Linked DNA regions of Macaca fascicularis. The protein of the gene in region 2 interacts with the protein of the main gene of each other region in a biochemical or structural test. Links are inferred from orthologs where the notes say so. Each region holds a gene or a part of one and is shown on either strand. Other genes may lie near its edges. The genes, in order: RIN1, ABL1, RAD51 and CRKL.

What was found.
Region 1: of the proteins of ABL1 (region 2) and RIN1, one has a biochemical effect on the other in vitro, tested with the Homo sapiens proteins (2 studies listed by BioGRID and IntAct, with this or other methods). The link is inferred for Macaca fascicularis from reciprocal best matches to the Homo sapiens genes ABL1 and RIN1.
Region 3: the proteins of ABL1 (region 2) and RAD51 form a complex in vitro, tested with the Homo sapiens proteins (2 studies listed by BioGRID). The link is inferred for Macaca fascicularis from reciprocal best matches to the Homo sapiens genes ABL1 and RAD51.
Region 4: the proteins of ABL1 (region 2) and CRKL form a complex in vitro, tested with the Homo sapiens proteins (4 studies listed by BioGRID and IntAct, with this or other methods). The link is inferred for Macaca fascicularis from reciprocal best matches to the Homo sapiens genes ABL1 and CRKL.

Annotation. Positions count from the first base shown.
Region 1 is NC_088388.1:8,064,650-8,070,025, reverse strand, and holds the start of RIN1 (ras and Rab interactor 1), read right to left. Parts: upstream 3,390-5,376; 5' UTR 3,355-3,389; coding exon 3,269-3,354; exon of another isoform or gene 3,243-3,268; intron 3,131-3,242; exon of another isoform or gene 3,125-3,130; coding exon of another isoform or gene 3,111-3,124; coding exon 2,930-3,110; intron 2,828-2,929; coding exon 2,713-2,827; intron 2,634-2,712; coding exon 2,561-2,633; intron 2,450-2,560; coding exon 2,358-2,449; intron 2,209-2,357; coding exon 1,471-2,208; intron 1,156-1,470; coding exon 850-1,155; intron 590-849; coding exon 458-589; intron 342-457; coding exon 190-341; intron 1-189. Other genes in the region: BRMS1 (breast cancer metastasis-suppressor 1), read right to left, coding at 4,834-4,841, 5,200-5,239. UniProt on the Homo sapiens protein: Ras effector protein, which may serve as an inhibitory modulator of neuronal plasticity in aversive memory formation. Can affect Ras signaling at different levels. First, by competing with RAF1 protein for binding to activated Ras.
Region 2 is NC_088389.1:12,994,940-12,999,858, forward strand, and holds part of ABL1 (tyrosine-protein kinase ABL1), read right to left. Parts: intron 4,124-4,919; coding exon 3,939-4,123; intron 254-3,938; coding exon 101-253; intron 1-100. UniProt on the Homo sapiens protein: Non-receptor tyrosine-protein kinase that plays a role in many key processes linked to cell growth and survival such as cytoskeleton remodeling in response to extracellular stimuli, cell motility and adhesion, receptor endocytosis, autophagy, DNA damage response and apoptosis.
Region 3 is NC_088381.1:17,222,527-17,227,887, reverse strand, and holds the start of RAD51 (DNA repair protein RAD51 homolog 1), read right to left. Parts: upstream 3,393-5,361; 5' UTR 3,122-3,392; intron 1-3,121.
Region 4 is NC_088384.1:31,929,896-31,934,305, reverse strand, and holds part of CRKL (crk-like protein), read right to left. Parts: intron 1,919-4,410; coding exon 1,784-1,918; 3' UTR 1-1,783. UniProt on the Homo sapiens protein: May mediate the transduction of intracellular signals.

The DNA.
Region 1 (5,376 bases), on a different chromosome or scaffold from region 2:
CCCATTGTACTGATGAGAAAACTGAGGCACAAAGTAGTTAAGTAACTTGCCCAAGTCCCCACAACCCAGTGGCAGAGCTGGGATTAGAACCCGGGATCTGGCTACAGAGTCTGGACTCTTCACCAAGGACAGGAAGGTGAAAGGCGGGGATGGTGTCTGGCTCTGAGGACACGGTGGAGGGCCTGTTACCTGGAAGCAGTGGGTGGCAGGCAGGCGGCGCTGCTCCCAGAGGCTGAGGGAGCGCCGTAGCTCCTGCGAAGGACTCAGTGGGAGGGTATGGGCCTGACCCAGGCCACTCAGCAAGGCCAGGCTGGCAGACAGGCTGGTCAGGTAGTAGCCACCTGGGACACAGGGTGGAATAACACGGCTCAGGCTGGGTGTGGGGCACCCATCCCCTCTCCCCTTCCCTGCTTATTCAGGGCCCACCCAGGCAGGGAAGTGGGTGGGGGTCCCTCACCCTCTCCGGTGAGCAGGCTGGGCTCCAGCAGCTCTGACATGTACTCGGCCTCCAGCAGCAGCTCAGGAAGGTCACAGTGGGCCAAGACGAGGCTCAGCAGAGGCAGGAACTCGTCAGCACCCGCGTCCTCCCCTGTGGGGACATGGTGAGAGGAAGAAGCTTCAGGTGCAGTCCTTGCTTTAGGCAGTGACCCCTCCCCATGGCCTAGCAACCATGGCAGGGCTTCGGAGAGAACGCACTGCTCTCTGGGCCTCAGTTTCGCAATCTGCAAGATGGGAGGGTGGGCTCATTCTCTCCCGCAGGGCCATTCCAGGGTCCTGGGGACCTGCCACTGGGGGTCCCACCTCCAACTCAGAGGGGCAGGGCAGGGTGAGGTGGTGGCAGAGACATACCCTCCTGGGTCCTCAGGGCCATGTAGAGCAGCTTGCAGGCCTGCAGGAGCCGCTTCACCTGGGCGCTGGGTGAGTAGGTGCGGAGCAGCTGCAGCAACTTCTGGCGCACCTGCTCCATCTCTACTGGGGAGGGCAGGCTCAGGTGGGACCCAAAAGCTCCGGGACCCTGGGCCCGGGCCAGGCGGAGGCCCTCAGCTAGGCGGCCCAGGGAGCCGTCTGCGGCAAGCCGGCGCCGCACGCGGGCTGCCAGGATGGGCCGGAGAGGCTTGAGCACAGAGCGATGCAATGACTTCTCCAGGACATGTTCTGCCAGAGGAGGGGCAGGGAGGGGTCAGGGGAAGACTGGGGAGATGGGGGACAGAGGCCAGGGGAGATGGGGGACAGAGGCCAGGGGAGAAGGGAGCAGGGGTAGAATCGGGGAGGAGAGGCAAGGAAAGCAGGAGGAGGTAGCCTGGGTGAGACAGAAGAGTTTGGGGAGAGAGAGGATGGAACTCTCTCGAACAGTGGTAAGACAGGGTGGGTTTGTAAAGCAGCAGAACAGAATCAGACAGGCTGGCGCTGTGGAGGGGAGCAGAGGGTCGGATGGGGCAGTGCTGGAGCTATGGAGAGACGGAGCCTCACCCAGCCTTTTAGGCGGCAGCAGCTTCTCAGGGCCCAGCTCCACGCTCAGCATGGCCCGGGCCCGGCTCAGTGCCTGACGGATGCCCTGCAGCTCCTGGGGCTCAGGCCCGGCCCGCACCTGGGTCAGTAGGTCCTGCACCAGCTGGCCTGCGGCTGTGTGTCGGTCCTGCATCAGTGCCGCCGCGGCCCGGCCCACCTGCCGCTCCGGCGCCAGTAGGGAGCAGAAGGCGGCACTCATGGACCGAAGCAGAGGCCGCCGGCGGCCCAGGTGGGGTGAGGTCGCTGGGCTCCCCCGGGACCCTGGCGCCCCCTCCTCCTCGGAGCTGCTGGGGGAGCCGCAGTCCACCTCCTGGAGGGAGGGCATAGGCGGAAGGCTAGGGTCACCGCCTGCTGGCACGCGGTACCCCACTGAACTCTCCCTCCGCAGCAACTGGCAAGGGGGCAGCCGCTCTGTCTGGCTGGGGACTGCCCCTGGCAACACAGGGACCGGGGGAGGCGGCACGGCAGGTGGAGACAGGGGGCTGGAAGTCTCTGTGGACACGCGCACTTTGAAGCTTCTCTTGAATTTCTCCCGCTTGGTGGGCCCCAGGTCCCCCGGGAACAGGGGGTTGAAGAAGCACAAGGCGGCTCCGGTGCCCTGGTCCAGCTCTTGAGGGGACCGGGCCTTCAGCTGGGGCAACACTGGGCCTCCAGCCGGGCCCCGCTGAGCCTTGATGTTGAGGGAGGAGCTCCAGAACTCTAGGGAACAAGAAACCAACTGGGGCCTCCAGGATTGGTTAGGGGAAGTTTCCCAACCAAGGAAAGGCATGGGCTTCGGGCCGTGTGCTGCGAGCCTTCCCCTCCCCTCAGCCTTTTCATCTGTGCAATGGGTGGCAAGGAGCTCTTACCAATGCCCAGATGGGAGATGGCCTCCAGCTCTTTGTGGGTGGCTGCACGGTGGATGGCTCTGGGGAGCTGCAGCGGGAGGAGAAGGATGTCCCTGAGGCCAGAGAGGGGAGCAGAAGGGAGTGAGGGCCGAAGGGGGTGGGGAGGATGGGCTGTCCCAAGGAGCAGGGCCCGTGGACACCGGGCACCCTGCAGGCAGACTCACCGGGTGTGGCAGTAGGCACAGATGAGCTGGACTAGGTCTGGGAACATGAGCTCCGAGCCCTCCAAGGAGACGCCTGAGAGAGGAGGGAAGTGAGGTGCTTCTCTAGGGAACCTCCCTCCTTCCAGCCCCTTCCTGCCAGGCCAGCCCCTCACCGCCAGGGCTCTCCAGGATGTAGTGGCTGGAGACGAAGGAGGGGCCGCTGGCTTCGGGCAGTCGCATGCACAGGGCCTGGCACTGTCGGGTGTTAGATTTCCGCACGAGGAACGTCTGCAAGTGGATAGGGCTCAGGCAGCTCAGGACCTTGGCATTCCACCCTTCTCCCTCCCACCCCTGGCTGGCCAGTCCCTGGAGGTTGGGGGCAAGACTCACCCCCGGGGGCTCGGTCCTCAGCACGTGCAGTGCCGCGGCTGCGTTGGCTTGCAGCTGCAGCCACACAGGCCGGGTGAGCAGCAGGCGCTCCCGCAGGCTCACAACGCGTCCCGGCCGCTGTGGCCCGCCTGCCTGCCCGCCGCTGGCATTGGGCACGTCATACAGTGGGTCCTGGGCTGGCCTGAGGGCGGGCATCCAGATCTGAGCAGGGAGCCAGGGGCTGGGACCCTTGCTCTCCTCTTCCCCGCTCCCAGGTTTCCCACCTTCTCCATCCCCAGATAGACCCTCTTCTCGCAGCCCCTCCCTGCCCCACCTGGCTGCCCTGCCAACTTCACTAACTTTTCTGTCTCCAGGTGCCCAGGAGTGAAGCTGGATGGGCTGGGGGCTCCCGGAGGGCCCGTGCCTGACTCTCCAGGGCTTTCCATGGCTGGGAGCTCCTTCGGCTTCAGGAAGAGAATCCAACCCCAAGGCAAGGCACGCACATCCCCAGTGAGTAACACTTCCTGAGGGCGGTCCGCCTGTCACACCCGCCTGTTAACTCTTGTGTGTCCACCCCGCCTGGCCAGTGCCTGCCTCCTCTGTTCTGGACCCTGCTTCGGGGGTCAGGGATCCCCTCCGTGCTAGCCCTGCTCTGAGGGCCCCAGCTGGGGGGTGCCACCTCCACACAGGGCCTCCTGCAGCCTCACCAGCTCCTCAAATTGCACAGGTGGGCGGGAAGTGGTTAAACGGCCGACTCAGTCCCCGCAGGCCCCAGCCACACTCTGGGGGCACCTCTGGGTCTGTGGTCAGTTGCTCATCTGCCCCTGGCCTCAGGTCAGCCTTGTGGGAGAGCACCCTCTACTGTCCATAGATGACTCATTCCTGAACATGGGTTTTAGGATTTTAGGTTGCCATGGAGAAAATATGCCACGTCTCCATGGAAACCAACCTATTTGCTTAACTGAGGTTCTGGGGGTGGTTCTGACACTCAGCACTAACCAGGGGGAGTCTGGCTGTGAGGTCGTTAGCACATGGTGCTGCTGCCGGCTGCCTCCTACGCATGCAGGCTCTGCCAGCCTGCCTTGCCAATCTGCCAGGCAACTGGGACAGGTGCAGACATGACCCAGGCTTCAAGCACACGCACCCATCCTCCCCACCCGAGGCACTCCGCTGGCGCCATATGTTCTCTGCCCAGTGCCAGGCAGCCCAGCGCCCACCTCCCCCTCCCCAGTGTGGCCCCACGCACAGTGCTCCAGCCTCTGCTGGGCAGTGCAAGGAGTGGCAATCTGCAGGCACCTCAGAAGTCAGCCTGGTTCAGGTGCTCCCCACAGAAGCCCTGATTCTCTTGCAAGGTAAATCACACATACACGGGGCACACCAGAATCCCAGGAAAGGTTTTAATTCTAGTCCTTGAAATCTGAGAGGCAGACACCAAGAACTGCCCTGAGAAAACCTGGGGGGCCTGGCATCTCGCCTCCAGCCCCAGCCAGGGTGGACAGCCCCCCTAGATATCACGTCTGACTCAGAGTTCCTGCACAGTGGGGCCTGGCTCCCTGGCCCTGAGGCCGGAGAGCCTGCATCCAAGGTCAGCAAGAGGATGTGGCTTTGACTTCAGCTGTCTTCTCTGTCAGGGGAGCCCCAAGAGGCGGATCTTCAGGAGCGGGAGGTGGCAGGCGGCTCAGGGATGGAGACAGCAGCCTTGCCTGGCCAGGTCGGCTCCACAGCCACAGCTGTGCAGGCCTCGAGGAGGGCAGAGGAGGAGTCCAGGCCAGTGCCAGCGGAGTGGGAGGGCCCAGCAGCACCACAGGAGCCTGGCTGGGCAGACCCTGAGGGGCCTGTGGGTCTGCCTGTCTGCAGCAGGAAGATGAGAATCCTGGGTGCGGTGCCAGCTGCTCTGAGGGTCCCCCTGGCTCTGAACAGCAGGGTCACGGTCCTGTGCGTATGTGGGAAGGAGAAAACTGTCACCAGTGAGGAAGCTGAAAGGAGGGGGGCAGCCACTTACTGAGCGGAGTGACTTTGGGCTGGCCCAGGACAGGCCTCCTGGGCAGCTCCACGGCCCTCCCTGACCCCTCCTGAGTGGGAGCTCCATCAACCCAGGCTTCCCCAGCCCCATCCTGGTTCCTGCTCCTCAAACTCCCACAAGCCCCTCAAATCTAGACCATCCTAACTTTCTTGGGCCACTGATTCTGACACAGCCACAGCCTCTCTCTGGGCTCCTTCCTGGAGGCTGAGCTGAGGGAAGGTGATGGCAAGGCGGGCAGGGGAGGCCGTACAACAGCCATAGTTCTTACCATCCGATTTTCTCTTCTGAGGGGACACAGCTGCCCTAGCCTGGGTGGATGAGAAGAAAAGCCCCCCTGAGAGCCCACCTACAGCCTGGCAATCCCTGCCCCACCTCCCACCTCTGTGGCGTGTGGGCTGCTGCCTTAGTGCTATGCCCCCAGGGCCAGGAACATAGGGCCCCCCAA
Region 2 (4,919 bases):
CTCATGGAAAAACTTTCAACTTTGTGTACACACTCCTGCATAGTTGGAATTTCCTGGAATGCCCACATATACTTGTGAGAACAGGCTGAGGAAGGCTTACATGCTCGCATGAGTTCATAGACCTTCTCTGGGCAGCCTTCTGGGCGCTCCATGCGGTAGTCCTTCTCCAGCAGCTCATACACCTGGGACAGGTCAATTCCCGGGTAAGGGGACATGCCATAGGTAGCAATTTCCCAAAGCAATACTCCAAATGCTGAAAGAAAACCGAAAGAGGCTGTTCAAGATGTGCAGCATTTCACTACACTACATTTAAAATCGGTTACATCTGCAGCAGACCTCAGAAGGGATGGCCCCAGCAGCAGCCCAGGCTCTGACATTTTACCAGACTCTTTATCATCAGAAGACCAGGACAAGGCCAGGTGCAGTTGCTCACGCCTGTAATCCCAGCACTTTGGGAGGCTGGGGTGGGAGGATCGTTTGAGGTCAGGAGTTCAAGATCACCCTGGCCAACATGGCAAAACCCCATCTCTACTAAAAATACAAAATTAGCCAGGTGTGTTGGTGCACAGCAGTCGTCCTGGCTACTTCGGAGGCTGAGGCAGGAGAATTGCTTGAATCTGGGAGGCAGAGTTTGCAGTGAGCCGAGATTGCTCCAGCCTGGGCGACAAGAGCAAGACTCTGTCTCAAAAAAAAACAAAACAAAACAAAAAAAACACCAGGACAGAACAAGACTCAGTAAACTTACCCCACAGACAAACATGCTGGAGGAGGGCAGAAGATGAGTTATCAGACCCTGTGGGGTATTTTAGGTAATGTGACCATCTTGCCGGGATATGTGGTAGAAGGAAACTGGCACTGGAAGTCAGCCGGCCATGTTAACTCATAGCTCTGTGACCAACCAGCTCTGTGCCTAACTGGCCACCACTGCTTTCCGGGTGCACAAGACTATCTCCAAAGCCCCTTCTAACTCTAAACATTTCATAAAAATCTTACAAAATCTTCGAATGTTTTGAAATCTCAGATTATTGCCTTGAAATTCCATTTCCCATTAAAGGGTAAGATTCCTTGGAGAAACGGGTGATTCAGGCCTGGGGCACAGAATGAACCTGCAATAATCTTGTCATTTGAGGGCATGGATATCACAGAAAACTACACAGGTAATGTCAAAATGACTAGGAGCTAATGTGAAGTTCCCACTGGCCAAGATGAGACAATCTGAGTATCAACAGGGAAAATAACCACAGTGGATTGAAACACATCAAATATATATAAATCTGAGAGTTCATAATAATACCACAAATGACAACAACAAAAACCTAATTGGCCACCACTGAAGGGTATTAAGAAACTAACTTGTGCACTTTGGGAGGCCGAGGCGGGCGGATCACGAGGTCAGGAGATTGAGACCATCCTGGCTAATGCGGTGAAACCCCATCTCTACTAAAAATACAAAAAAAATTTAGCCGGGCGCGGTGGTGGGCGCCTGTAGTCTCAGCTACTCGGGAGGCTGAGGCAGGAGAATGGCGTGAACCCTGGAGGCGGAGCTTGCAGTGAGCTGAGATCGCACCACTGCACTCCCGCCTGGGCGACAGAGGGAGACATCATCTCAAAAAAACAAAACAAAACAAAACAAAACAAAAAAAAAACTAACCTGTGGCAGGGCATGGTGGCTCATGCCTATAATCCCAGCACTTTGGGAGGCCAAGGTGGGCAGATTGTCTGAGCTCAGAAGTTCAGGACCAGCCTGGGCAACATGGTGAAGCCCCATCTTTACTAAAAATACAAAAAAAATTAGCCTGGAGTGGTGGCAGGCACCTGCAATCCCAGTTACTTGGGAGACTAAGGCAGAAGAATTGCTTGAAACACAGGAGGCGGAGGTTGCAGTGAGCTGAGATCACGCTACAGCCTGTGTGACAAAGCAAGACTGTCTCCAAAAAAAAGAAACTAATTTGTTATTTTAAGAACTGGTAGGCCGGGCGCGGTGGCTCAAGCCTGTAATCCCAGCACTTTGGGAGGCCGAGACGGGCGGATCACGAGGTCAGGAGATCGAGACCATCCTGGCTAACACAGTGAAACCCGTCTCTACTAAAAATACAAAAAATTAGCCGGGCGTGGTGGCGGCGCCTGTAGTCCCAGCTACGCGGGAGGCTGAGGCAGGAGAATGGCGAGAACCCGGGAGGCGGAGCTTGCAGTGAGCGGAGATCCGGCCACTGCACTCCAGCCTGGGCGACAGAGCGAGACTTCGCCTCAAAAAAAAAAAAAAAAAAAAGAACTGGTAAAAGGCCGGGCGCGGTGGCTCAAGCCTGTAATCCCAACACTTTGGGAGGCCAAGACGGGCGGATCACGAGGTCAGATCGAGACCATCCTGGCTAACACGGTGAAACCCCATCTCTACTAAAAAATACAAAAAACTAGCCGGGCGAGGTGGCGGGCACCTGTAGTCCCAGCTACTTGGGAGGCTGAGGCAGGAGAATGGCGTAAACCCAGGATGCGGAGCTTGCAGTGAGCTGAGATCCGGCCACTGCACTCCAGCCTGGGCGACAGAGCGAGACTCCATCTCAAAAAAAAAAAAAAAGAACTGGTAAATAAAACCAAAGAAGCAAGAATTGATCCTGCTCTTCCTATATGAACTGTACCACTGAGTAACCAAAGAGATGAGGAACTGTTTCTCCTCATACAAGTATTCCACTAACAACTGAATAGGAATGACAGAATTAGAGAATTCCCATCTGGCAACACCTAGTAAACTATTGGATCTAGGCACTGTATATCAATAACTGCTAAAAATTACTCAAAAAAATTTTAAAAAGATAGAAAATCAAGCATTTTGGGGCCGGGCGCAGTGGCTCACAGCTGTATCCCAGCACTCTGGGAGACCGAGGTGGGCAGATCACGAGGTCAGGAGTTCGAGACCATCCTGGCCAACATGGTAAAACCCCTGCCTCTACTAAAAATGCAAAAATTAGTCAGGGGTGGTGGCAGGCACCTGTAATCCCAGCTACTCAGGAGGCTGAGGCAGGAGAATCACTTGAAACCGGAAGGCAGAGGTTGCAGCGAGCCGAGATTGTGCTACTATACTCCAGCCTGGGCAACAAGAGCGAAACTCCGTCTCAAAAAAACAAAACAAAACAAAAACAAAAACAAAAAGAAAGAAAATCAAGCATTTTATGTCTACTGATGGAAGGGCACACCATCTCTTCTGATCCACTCTTACTAAAAGAAAAACAGTCAAACCTGAATGTGATGAGGCTGTCCAGATTCAGCCACCCTTAACTAGGAATATGGAAGCCAGAGGAACATTAAATCACACCATTGGAGACAATGGGCAAAACTCAGAACGTAAGAAACTCTGCGGAACAAATGATGATTTCTTCAATAAACAAACAGCAAGGGAAATAAAGACATGGAGGGGGCTCACAGAGGACACTGTTTTAACAGACAAATCAGCAGATACACTGTGCACCATATTTGGACCTCAGGCCAAAGGTTTTAAAAAAAAAAAAAAAAAAAGGTGGCTGGGTGCAGTGGCTCACACCTGTAATCCCAGCACTTTGGGAGGCCAAGGCAGGTGGATCACCTGAGGTCAGGAGTTCTAGACCAGCCTGGCCAACATGGTGAAACCCCATCTCTACTAAAAATACCAAAAATTAGCTGGGCATGGTGACGGGTGCCTATAATCCCAGCTACTCAAGACACTGAGGCAGGAGAATTGCTTGAACCTGGGAGGCAGAGGCTGCACTGAGCCAAGATTGTACCACTGCACTCCAGCCTGGGTGACAGAGTGAGACTCCCTCTCAAAAAAACAAAAAGAAAGGAAGAGCAAGAAAAAAAGGGGAAAAAAAAGGGAAGAGCAAGAAAGAGGCAGAAAAAAAAAAAAAACCAAAAAAAAACCCTCCCGTAGCCAGGAAGGACCACTTCAGTGCAGCAGCAACCCTTACCCCAGACGTCGGACTTGATGGAGAACTTGTTGTAGGCCAGGCTCTCGGGTGCAGTCCATTTGATGGGGAACTTGGCTCCGGCATGGGCTGTGTAGGTGTCCCCTGTCATCAACCTGCTCAGGCCAAAATCAGCTACCTTCACCAAGTGGTTCTCCCCTACCAGGCAGTTTCGGGCAGCAAGATCTCTAAGAAAGAAAAATGTTCACCCATGAGAGCTCCTGGCCAACTTTCCACTTCACAAATCCACCACTGTTGAGCGAAGCTGCAATGCTGACAATGGGAAGATTGAGTCCAGTGCCCTGGAAATTTGTATTAATGCCCACTGCAATTAACACAGTGCCAGCCTCTCAGCAAACACACCTTGAGATAGATCCCAACATCGCGAGAGGCTGGTGCTGGGAGCGGGCTCCCTGGCCCCATGACCTGGAGCAAGTTAATTACCTTGGGACTCAGTTACCTCATCCGTAAAATGAAGACGATAATAATGGCACCCACCTCTTAGGGCTGCTGTGAGTGTAATTAATTAATATGCTAAATGCTTTGATTGATGTGTCGAGAATATTAAGTGCAGTTATTGCTACTCTATGCCAGGCACAGAGACAAACACTTAGCCCAGTCTTTGATTGCAAGAAACTTTTATCAGAGTGCATCTCCACTTGTCCTATCCAGACTTGATGGGACAAAATAAAACAAAGCCCATGACATTCTTTACCCAAACTGTGTTTCCTACTTCCCTCTTTCTTCCTGATGTGTACCCAAATGTATCCTAAAAACGCTCTCCTGTATAATCTGTTTCCTCTCACTTCCTGATTCTCCCAGGGAGGTAGGAATCTAATCTTTGGTTCATGAACATTAACCATGAAATCACAAGGCAAGCGGGAAGAGGGGAATGACAGGAGGCAGCAGCTTGAGGCGATGGTGCACGAGATAGCCTGATCGTCAGCAACGAGAGTGAAATTAAATACAGAAGAGTTGTGCCTA
Region 3 (5,361 bases), on a different chromosome or scaffold from region 2:
TACCCTGATTTGATCATTCATTATTCAATATATATGTACTGAAATATCAACTTGTTCTCATAAATATGTACAATCATCTGTCAAAAACAAAGTAAAACTTATTATTTTCACAACCTTGGGATATAAAAAGATTTCTTGAAACGATACATAACGCACTAGCCAAAAAGGAAAAGACTGAAAGCTGAACTACATTTAAATTCAGCACTTCGGCCAGGCACTGTGGCTCAGGCCTGTACTCCCAGCACTTTGGGAGGCTGAGACGGGCAGATCACCTGAGTTCAGGAGTTCGAGACCAGCCTGACCAACATGGAGAAACCCTGTCTCTACTAAAGAAAAATACAAAATTAGCCGGGCGTGGTAGCACATGCCTGTAATCCCAGCTACTCAGGAGGCTGAGGCAGGAGAATCGCTTGAACCCGGGAGGTGGAGGTTGCGGTCAGCCAAGATCGCGCCATTGCACTCCAGCTTGGGCAACAAGAGTGACTCTCTGTCTCAAAAGGAAATATAAATAAATAAAATAAAAAATAAAAAAATAAATTCAGCACTTCTATTCATCAAAGGACACCACTAAGAGAATGACAAGTCAAACCACAGTAGAGGTGAAAACATTTAGCACAAACATAACTGAGGGCTGATAACCAGAATATAAAGAACTTTGGCCTGGCGCGGTGGCTCAAGCCTGTAATCCCAGCACTTAGGGAGGCCAAGACGGGCGGATCACGAGGTCAGGAGATCGAGACCATCCTGGCTAACACGGTGAAACCCCGTCTCTACTAAAAAATACAAAAAACTAGCTGGGCATGGTGGCGGGCGCCTGTAGTCCCAGCTACTGGGGAGGCTGAGGCAGGAGAATGGCGCGAACCCGGGAGGCGGAGCTTGCAGTGAGCTGAGATCCGGCCACTGCACTCCAGTCTGGGCGACAAAGCGAGACTCTGTCTCAACAAAAAAAAAAAAAAAAAAGAACTTCACATCAGTAAGAAAAAGTAGAAAAATAGACAAGAGATTTGAACAAGTACATCACAGAAGATATCCAAATGGGAAAAACATATGAACAAATACCCAACCTCATTAGTAATCAGGAAAATTAAAATCACATTGAGACATTACTGTGTAACCAGCAGAATAGTAAAAAAAAAAAATTTTTTTTTTTTTTTTTTTTTGAGACGGAGTCTTGCTCTGTCGCCCAGGCTGGAGTGCAGTGGCGCCATCTCGGCTCACTGCAAGCTCCGCCTCCCGACTCATTGCATCTCGGTTCACCGCAATTCTCCTGCCTCAGCCTCCCCAGTAGCTGGGACTACGGGCGCCCGCCACCACGCCCGGCTAATTTTTTTTGTATTTTTAGTAGAGACCGGGTTTCACCATGTTAGCCAGGATGGTCTCTATCTCCTGACCTTGTGATCCGCACGTCTCAGCCTCCCAAAGTGCTGGGATTACAGGCGTGAATCACCGCGCCCGGCCAGAATAGTTAAATATAAAAGGCTGAAAATCGTGTTGTCAAGCATGTAAAACAACGAAACACTCAACACTCCTGATGTATTTTTATATAAAATTCAAAAACGAGCAACATTAGTTAATCGCATTAGAAACCAGTGTACCAGTTACCACTGTAAAAAGGGGAAAATATTAAATACTACATAAGGAAGGCTTCTGGGGACCATTCTATTAAGTGGTGATTACGTAGGTGTACATTCATTTTGTCTTGCTCTATCGCCCAGGTTGGAGTGCAGTGGCCTGATCACGGCTCACTGCAGCTTATACTTCCCAGGCTAGATCCTCCCTTCTCAGCCTCCTGAATAGCTGGGCCTACAGGTGCACGCCACCAAGCCTGGCTAATTTTTTCTATCTGTAGAGATACTGGTCTCACTATCTTGACCAGGCTGTTCTCGAACTCTTGGGCTCAATTGTCCTCCCGCCTCCACCTCCTAAAGTGCTGGGACTACAGACTTGAGACACTACACCCGGCCAGTATATTTTGTAATAATTCACGGAGTTGTATACAGTTGTGAATGTGCATTTTTCTACATGTATATTACATATCACTTTAGAAGTTTAAAAAAAAAAAAAAAAAGCCGGGCGCGGTGGCTCACGCCTGTAATCCCAGCACTTTGGGAGGCCGAGGCGGGCGGATCACAAGGTCAGGAGATCGAGACCACGGTGAAACCCCGTTTCTACTAAAAATACAAAAAAAAATTAGCCGGGCGCGGTGGCGGGAGCCTGTAGTCCCAGCTACTCAGGAGGCTGAGGCAGGAGAATGGCGTGAACCCGGGAGGCGGAGCTTGCAGTGAGCCGAGATTGCGCCACTGCACTCCAGCCTGGGCGACAGAGCAAGACTCTGTCTCAAAAAAAAAAAAAAAAACAGGGGCCAGGCGCGGTGGTTCACGCCTGTAATCCCAGCACTTTGGGAGGTGGAGGCGGGTGGATAACCTGAGGTCAGGAGTTCGACACCAGCCTGACCAGCATAGTGAAACCCTGTCTCTACTAAAAATACAAAAATCAGCCAGTCGTGGTGGCGGGAGCCTGTAATCCCAGCTCCTTGGGAGGCTGAGGTAGGAGAATCGCTTGAACCCGGGAGGCGGAGGTTGCAGTGAGCCGAGATCGCGCCACTACACTCCAGCCTGGGCTAAAGAGCGAGACTTCATCTCAAAAAAAAAAAAAAAAAAAAAGTTTTAAGAAAACCAAGCCTCACTTCAGATCATTCTCTAGGCATCATGCGAATGGTTTTCCGCATTAGATGACGAAAATACTGTTTTGGCAATTGCAGGTTGGTACTTTCTAAGCACGGTGTAACGGAAAGACAGACCAAGAATCCGGAAGCCCTGGCTGTGATATTAAACAGCTGTGGCTACACCGCTCTGATCTCAGACTCCTCGCTCAAACTCATAAAACGGGTGTTGGCTATGAAGGCTCTAATGTTTCTCCCCTAGTTCTAAAGACTGGGATCCACCTGTGTTTTCGCCCCAGCAACTGAGAGTCGGTCGGACGCGGACACGCCCTGCCACGTCCGGGTTTCACACTGTGCGCGGAGACCCCACCTGCCCCTGAGCATTGGACCGGCCAGGACCCAGGTGGGCGACGACGAGCCGCAGCTATAGAGGGCCCGGCCTGCGCCTCACACACTCACCTTGGCCCTCAGCGCTGCTCTTTCCAACGGGCCGCGCGCTCCGACTTCACCCTGCGGGGGTGACACGCGCCTGACCCGCGCGGACCCCAACGCCCCTGGCTTACGCCCTACTTCAAGTCTACTCGCTTGCCCCAGCCTTCTGCGCACAACCCAGACGAGTTTCAGCTCCCAGCTGCACGCCTCGGGAAGCGCCGCGCTCTCCTTAAGGGTCGGTCTCTGGTCGCTGGGCGCGCTCCGACGGCGGCTTTCAGAATTCGCGCCAAACCCTCTCGCCCAGGGTCACGCACGCGTCGGCGTAACGTATCTCCGCCTTCCGGATCCGCCTTCTTGCCCCTTCCGCCCACCGCGCTAGCCCAAGACTGGAACTCGAGAGCTTGATCCTGCGCGAGGTTACGGACTGCCCTCTTCCCTTTTTGCGTAAGGACTAATTCAGACTTTATGCCGGGCGCGGTGGCTCACGCGCGTAGTCCCAGCTAACTCGGGAGGCCGAGGCGAGAGGATCGTCTGAGCCTGGGAGTTCTAGGCCAACCACGGCAACGCCCCTACTCTTACCCTAGTCCCTCGCGGGTGGGGCGAGGGTTTTCGGGGGACGGTGGGGGAAGACATCAGAGTTGCTGTGGTCTGTTTACCAGATCGAAGACTACAACTCCCAAGAGGTAATGCGTCGGCCCGGGACTGTATCTCCCGGCATGCACCGCCGGCGGGCCTGCGAGTTCCTACCGTCATCCCAGCTGGACTATTACCTGGAGCCGGACTATTACCTGGAGCCTTAGCACTCTTGTGGTTTGTTTCAGCAGTATCTGAACGTCAGCTTTTGGCGCTGGTAGCTCTGAGCCTCCGACTCACATTCCTGGAACCAGGTGCTTTCCAGGCCTCATGGAGGTGGAGGAGCTGAGGAAGCTCGAGAAGATGGATAGAAGTGAGAAATGGAGCTATCGGAGGGGAGAGGGAAATGGCTGGAATATTCGTCAATCTGTGGTGCTTTACTGGAGATTTGCAGGACTTCAGAGGAAGGGGGCATTGAATTTCATAACCTAAACCGTCTCGTGGTTTACCAGAAAGTTTTGACCCGTGATTCCGGTTTTAAAGGCTGAGTAGGGCCGAGAATCGCTTGAACCCGGGAGGAAGAGGTTGCAACGAACCGAGATCTCGCCACTGTACTCCAGCGTGGGCGACAGAACGAGAGTGTCTCAAAACAACACAAGCTAGCTGAGTAGGATTTCTTGGGCGAAGTGGAAGACACTATAAGCAGATAGGGTAGTATGGGCATGGAAACAAACTACATGATTAAAGATTAGTATTATCTAGCGAGGGAGGAAAAGTGCCAGAACAAGTGCCGAAACTGGAAAGTTACATTTAGTTCAGGATATGAAGAGGCTTAAGATCATATAAGGCCTGCACAGTGGCTCACGCCTGTGATCCCAGCACTTTGGGAAGCCAAGGCAGGAGAGGATCGCTTGAGCTCAGGAGTTGGAGGCCAGCCTGGGCAACATAGTGGGACCCCATATCTCCAAAAAGAATAAGCTGGGCATGGTGGCTTGTGCCTGTGGTCTCAGCTATCCCGGAAGCTGAGGTGGGAGGATTGCTTGAGCTCAGGACGTCAAGGCTGCAGTGAGCTATGATGGGACACTGCACTCCAACCTGGGCTACAGAGTGAGATCTTGTCCCAAAAAGCAAGCAACAACAACAACAAAACATGTAAGAAGAGGCCAGGCGCGGTGGCTCAAGCCTGTAATCCCAGCACTTTGGGAAGCCAAGGTGGGTGGATCACGTGGTCAGTTCAAGACCAGCCTGGCCAAGATGGCAAAACCCCATCTCTACTAAAACTACAAAAAGTAGCTGGGCGTGGTGACGCATGCAAGTAATCCCAGCTACTTGGGAGGCTGAGGCACAGAATTGCTTGAACCTGGGAGGTGGAGGTTGCAGTGAGTCGAGATCACCCCACTGCACTCCAGCCTGGGCAACAGAGCAAGACTCCGTCTCAAAAAATACATATATAAGGAGCTTTGTTCTCTAGGTACTGAATAAATCACTGAAAGTTTTTAAGAAGACAAGTTATTTGGTTAGATCTATTTCCCCTCCACTATTACTAATTTGTTATTATTATTATTATTATTTTTTTTTAGATGGAGTCTCACTCTGTTACCCAGGCTGGAGTGCAGGGATGCGATCTCAGCTCACTGCAACCCCCACCTCCCAGATGCAAGCGAGTCTCCATGCCTCAGCCTCCCAAGTAACTG
Region 4 (4,410 bases), on a different chromosome or scaffold from region 2:
GATACTCAGTAAATGACAGTTACTCATTAGGCTGTTGCTACATTTCTAGGTCTGCTGTGTTCACTATAAGCTGAGGCTTGTCTTTACCAGGGCCCAGAAGGGAGAACAGACTGAATTACACAGGGTTCCCAGAATTCTAGTCTGCCATGAGCAGCAGATGACGGATGAACCACACATATATACCAGCTGGCTTGTATGAACAGGCCTCTTTTAGCTAACAGGGAAATGCTTTAACATCAATACACTGATAAGTGGTTAATGATAAACTGGTTAATGGTCTCCCTAGTCACTAAAACACTAAGACATCAAATACATTAACCAATTTCCAGAGCCTGCATTTCCACTGCTTGGGAGCATCAGACACTTACTTAGACTGTGAGACCAGTATCAGCAGCACCAACTTTCTCTGGCAGCCTGGTGAGACTGGGCCTGGGTACGGAGGTCTGGGCTTCAGTGAGTGGAATTTAACGATTCATTAATGAGTCCAATGATTCTATGAACAACCCCACTTTTTAGGGGAATTTAAGTCTTAACCTTAAAGGGGTACATTCACTGAAAAGCTGAACAGAAAACTGGCCAACTGCCCTCCAACCCACTGCTCTTATCACTGGCAAACAAGGTAAGCAAAGGTTTCCCTAAAGTACCCCCCAACTCTGATGCTTTTTAAAACAAAGTAATCCAAGGGGCTGTGCACATGGCATGGCACACCACAGCTGCATTATTTTGTGTGTTTTCTGCTACATGGCAAAACAAACTACTACTGGCAACCAAGACAATAAAGGCCTCTGCTTCAGGGTTGTTCTTTTCAGATTCCTTTAGTTACAGCAGCTTCAGTTTAGAAGCTCAGAGGCATGTGTCATTCCTTGCACTATCATAAAAACCCAACCTGCTACTTAACCTGTTTAGAACACACAAGTCTAGGCCAGGCACAGCGGCTCATGGCTATAATACCAGCACGTTGAGGGGCTGAGGCGGGTGGATCACCTGAAGTCAGGAGTTCGACACCAGCCTGGCCAACATGATGAAACCCCGTCTCTACTAAAAATACAAAAATTAGTTGGGCGTGGTGTGCGCGCCTGTAATCCCAGCTACTCGGGAGGCTGAGGCAGGAGAATTGCTTGAACCCGGGAGGCGAAAACTGCAGGGAGGCAAGATTGCGCCACTGCACCCCAGCCTGGGTGATGGAGCGAGACTCCGTCTCAAAAAAACAAAAAACAAAACAAAACAAAACAAAAAAACCCCACACAAGTCTAATTAATTAGTTTTCCAAAACCAAACCAAACCAAAAGAAAAAAAAAAAGCCGAATTTTGGAGTTTTAGAACAGAATTCTCTCTTCCTTAAGGTTCAGTTCCTGTTGTCCAAAGAAAAGCAAGATGGCAGCTGAGCCACTGCTCTGTGGAACAGCAAACATGCAGTATCTCGCCATGGCCTCAGGCTTTCTCTGGTGAACACGACAGAATCAGTCCCATGTACAAACAGGCAGCGATGAGAAGGAAGACCCTTTCCTCGTCAACTTCTCTCCACTTGTGTGCTTCCATCAGTATTTCCAGTTTATGATCCAAAAGAACTCTAAAATCGGCTACTCTTTGACAATACAACTATGATACAAACGTCAGGAGGCAGTCGCTGTGTGCATTCCAAATGTGTGTGCGACTGCCAGTCTGCAGAAAGCTGGACTTCGGCAATGCAGTGTGACTTGCCTATGAGAGAGAATGCTTTCCCACTTCAAAGGAGACTAGGACAGGCAGAACAACAAAGCAGCAGGAAACGGGGCAACGGCAATCACTCATTTTCATCTGGGTTTTGAGGGTCAAAGATTTTGACATGCGTAAAGGGAAAAAGCCCTTTGCGCCCATTCACCTCGCCTTCCCACTGGCCATTTATATTCATCCTTGTGACTTTCACAATGTCACCAACCTGTACGGATGAAGAAGACAAAGTTAGCATTTCTCTGCAACAAGAAAAAGACAGTTTACATTAAATCACAAACACTACCTTATCCAAAGGGCCCATACATTATTATTTAGACACAGAGTCTCACTCTGTTAGCCATGCTGGAGTGTAGTGGTGAGATCACTACTCAATGTAACCTCTAACACCTGGGCTCAAGTGATCCTTCCACCACCACCTCTTGAATAGCTGTGACTACAGGCGTGCACCACCATGCACATTAATTTTTTTATAGACAGGGTCTGTCACCCAGGCTGGAATGCGGTTGCACGATCACAGCTCATTGTACCTTGAACTCCTGGGATTACCTGAGGTCACGAGTTCGAGACCAGCCTGGGCAACATGGTGAAACCTCATCTCTTCTAAAAAATAGAAAAATTAGCCGGGTGTAGTGGTACATGACTCTAGTCCCAGCTACTCAGGAGGCTGAAGTGAGAGGATGGCTTGAGCCCATGAGGCTGAGGCTGCAGTGAGCCGTGATCGTTCTATGGCACTCCAGACTGGGCAACTGAGTGAGACCCTGCTCAAAAAAACAAAAACACGCACACGCACAAACAGCTTTTGAGCACAAAGCAGCTCCTCCCCAAACCAACCCTTTATTTTGGCTACTAACCCCAACAGGATAGAAATGAACACATGATTCTGAGAACAGTTAAAGTCAAATCACACAAAAAGGTGTATTTTTAAAAAAGACCTTCAGGTGGTAGCCATTGTAGACATTGTGCTCTCTGTTCAGCAGAGCACTAATCTAAGATTCTATTTTGTGTACTCAGGTCCATAAAAACACTACTTGAATATAAGACACGCCTAAGATCTAAGACAATAATAAATAAGCTTTCGTCTGCTTAAACACATACAGAACCAGGCATAGTGGTGCGTGCCTGTAGTTCTAGGTACTTGGCAGGCTGAGGTGAGAGGATTGCTTGAGCCCAGGAGTTTGAGACCAGCCTGTGCAACACAGCAAGACTACATCTCAAAATAAAAACAGGCACAAGGTGGCACAGTCCAGTGGTCCATGCCATGAACTTTGGAACATGCAGGACACCAAACAAATGTCCTGGTTCTGCCACTTTTAGAAACTACATGACTGTAGCAAACTGCTTAAGTTCTCCAAGTCTCAGTTTCCTTCCAACTTTGAAAGGGTCTTACAGTAATCAAATGATTGTTACTTGAGTAGAGATTCCTGAGTAGAACCCAGCCCCACGCCCCCTCTAATGATCATACCCTTTGGATGCACGAAGGGAAGAGCTGGAATTAGCACTGAGAAGCACAGCACTGTATGTATCAGAGGATTTCCAACCTTGTCACCAACAAGGGTCCTCTCAAAACCAACGAGGAACAGGCTGAAAACGGGGTCTAATAAATTACTGTGATGGATACTGAGCAGCCAAGGAAGACAACGGGAAGATGGAGATGAGGAGGCTAGGGACTGAAAGCTACCAAGAACACTCACACCTCATACCTTCCAATTAACTTGTGAGTCTGGCGGTCTTTAACAGGATACTTTCTACATGATCCTACCTAAACAATTAAATAAAATTTACTGAACATCTATTCCATGGAAAATGGGCAGGTCAGTTCGTATCCTCAAAAAACTTGTCTTTTAAGTGGGATACACGATGAATCTTTGTTAGATAATAACATAGTGTAAAAAACACGAAGTGGCTGGGCGCAGTGGCTTACACCTGTAATCCCAGCACTTTGGGAGGCTGAGGCGGGTGGATCACTTAAGCCCAGGAGTTCAAGACCAGCCTGGGCAACACAGTGAAACCCTGTCTCTAAAATACAAAAATGAGCCAGGCATGGTGGCATGCACCTGCAGTCCCAGCTACTTGGGAGGATGAGGTGGGAAGATCGCTTAAGCGCAGGAGGCAGAGGTTGCAGGGTTGCAGTAAGCTGTGATCATGCCACTGCACTCTAGCCTGGGTGACAGAGCGAGACCTTGTCTCAAGAAAAGAAAAAGAAAAAGGCTGGGCGCAATGGCTCACATCTGTAATCCCAACACTTTGGGAGGCCGAGGCAGGTGGATCACCTGAGGTCAGAAGTTCGAGAGCAGCATGGCCAACATGGCAAAACCACATCTCTACTAAAAAATACAAAAATCAGCCAGGTGTGGTGGTAGATGTCTGTAATCCCAACTACTCAGAAGGCTGAGGCAGGAGAATCACTTGAACCTGGGAGGTGGAGGTTGCAGTGAACCAAGATCATGTCACTGCACTTGGTGTAGCCAGGCGCAGTGGCTCACGCCTATAATCCCAGCACTTTGGGAAGCCAAGGTAGAGGATCACTTGAGGCCACATGTTCAAGACCAGCCTGGGTGACATAGTGAGACCTAGCTTCTATTAAAAAGAAAAAAGAGAGAGAGAGAAGACACATAAAAGCAGCAAGTGGCAGAAAAACACTACTAAATCAATGCTGCAGAGCATAGGATCAAGGAGCTACTGCTTAGACAGAGGGAA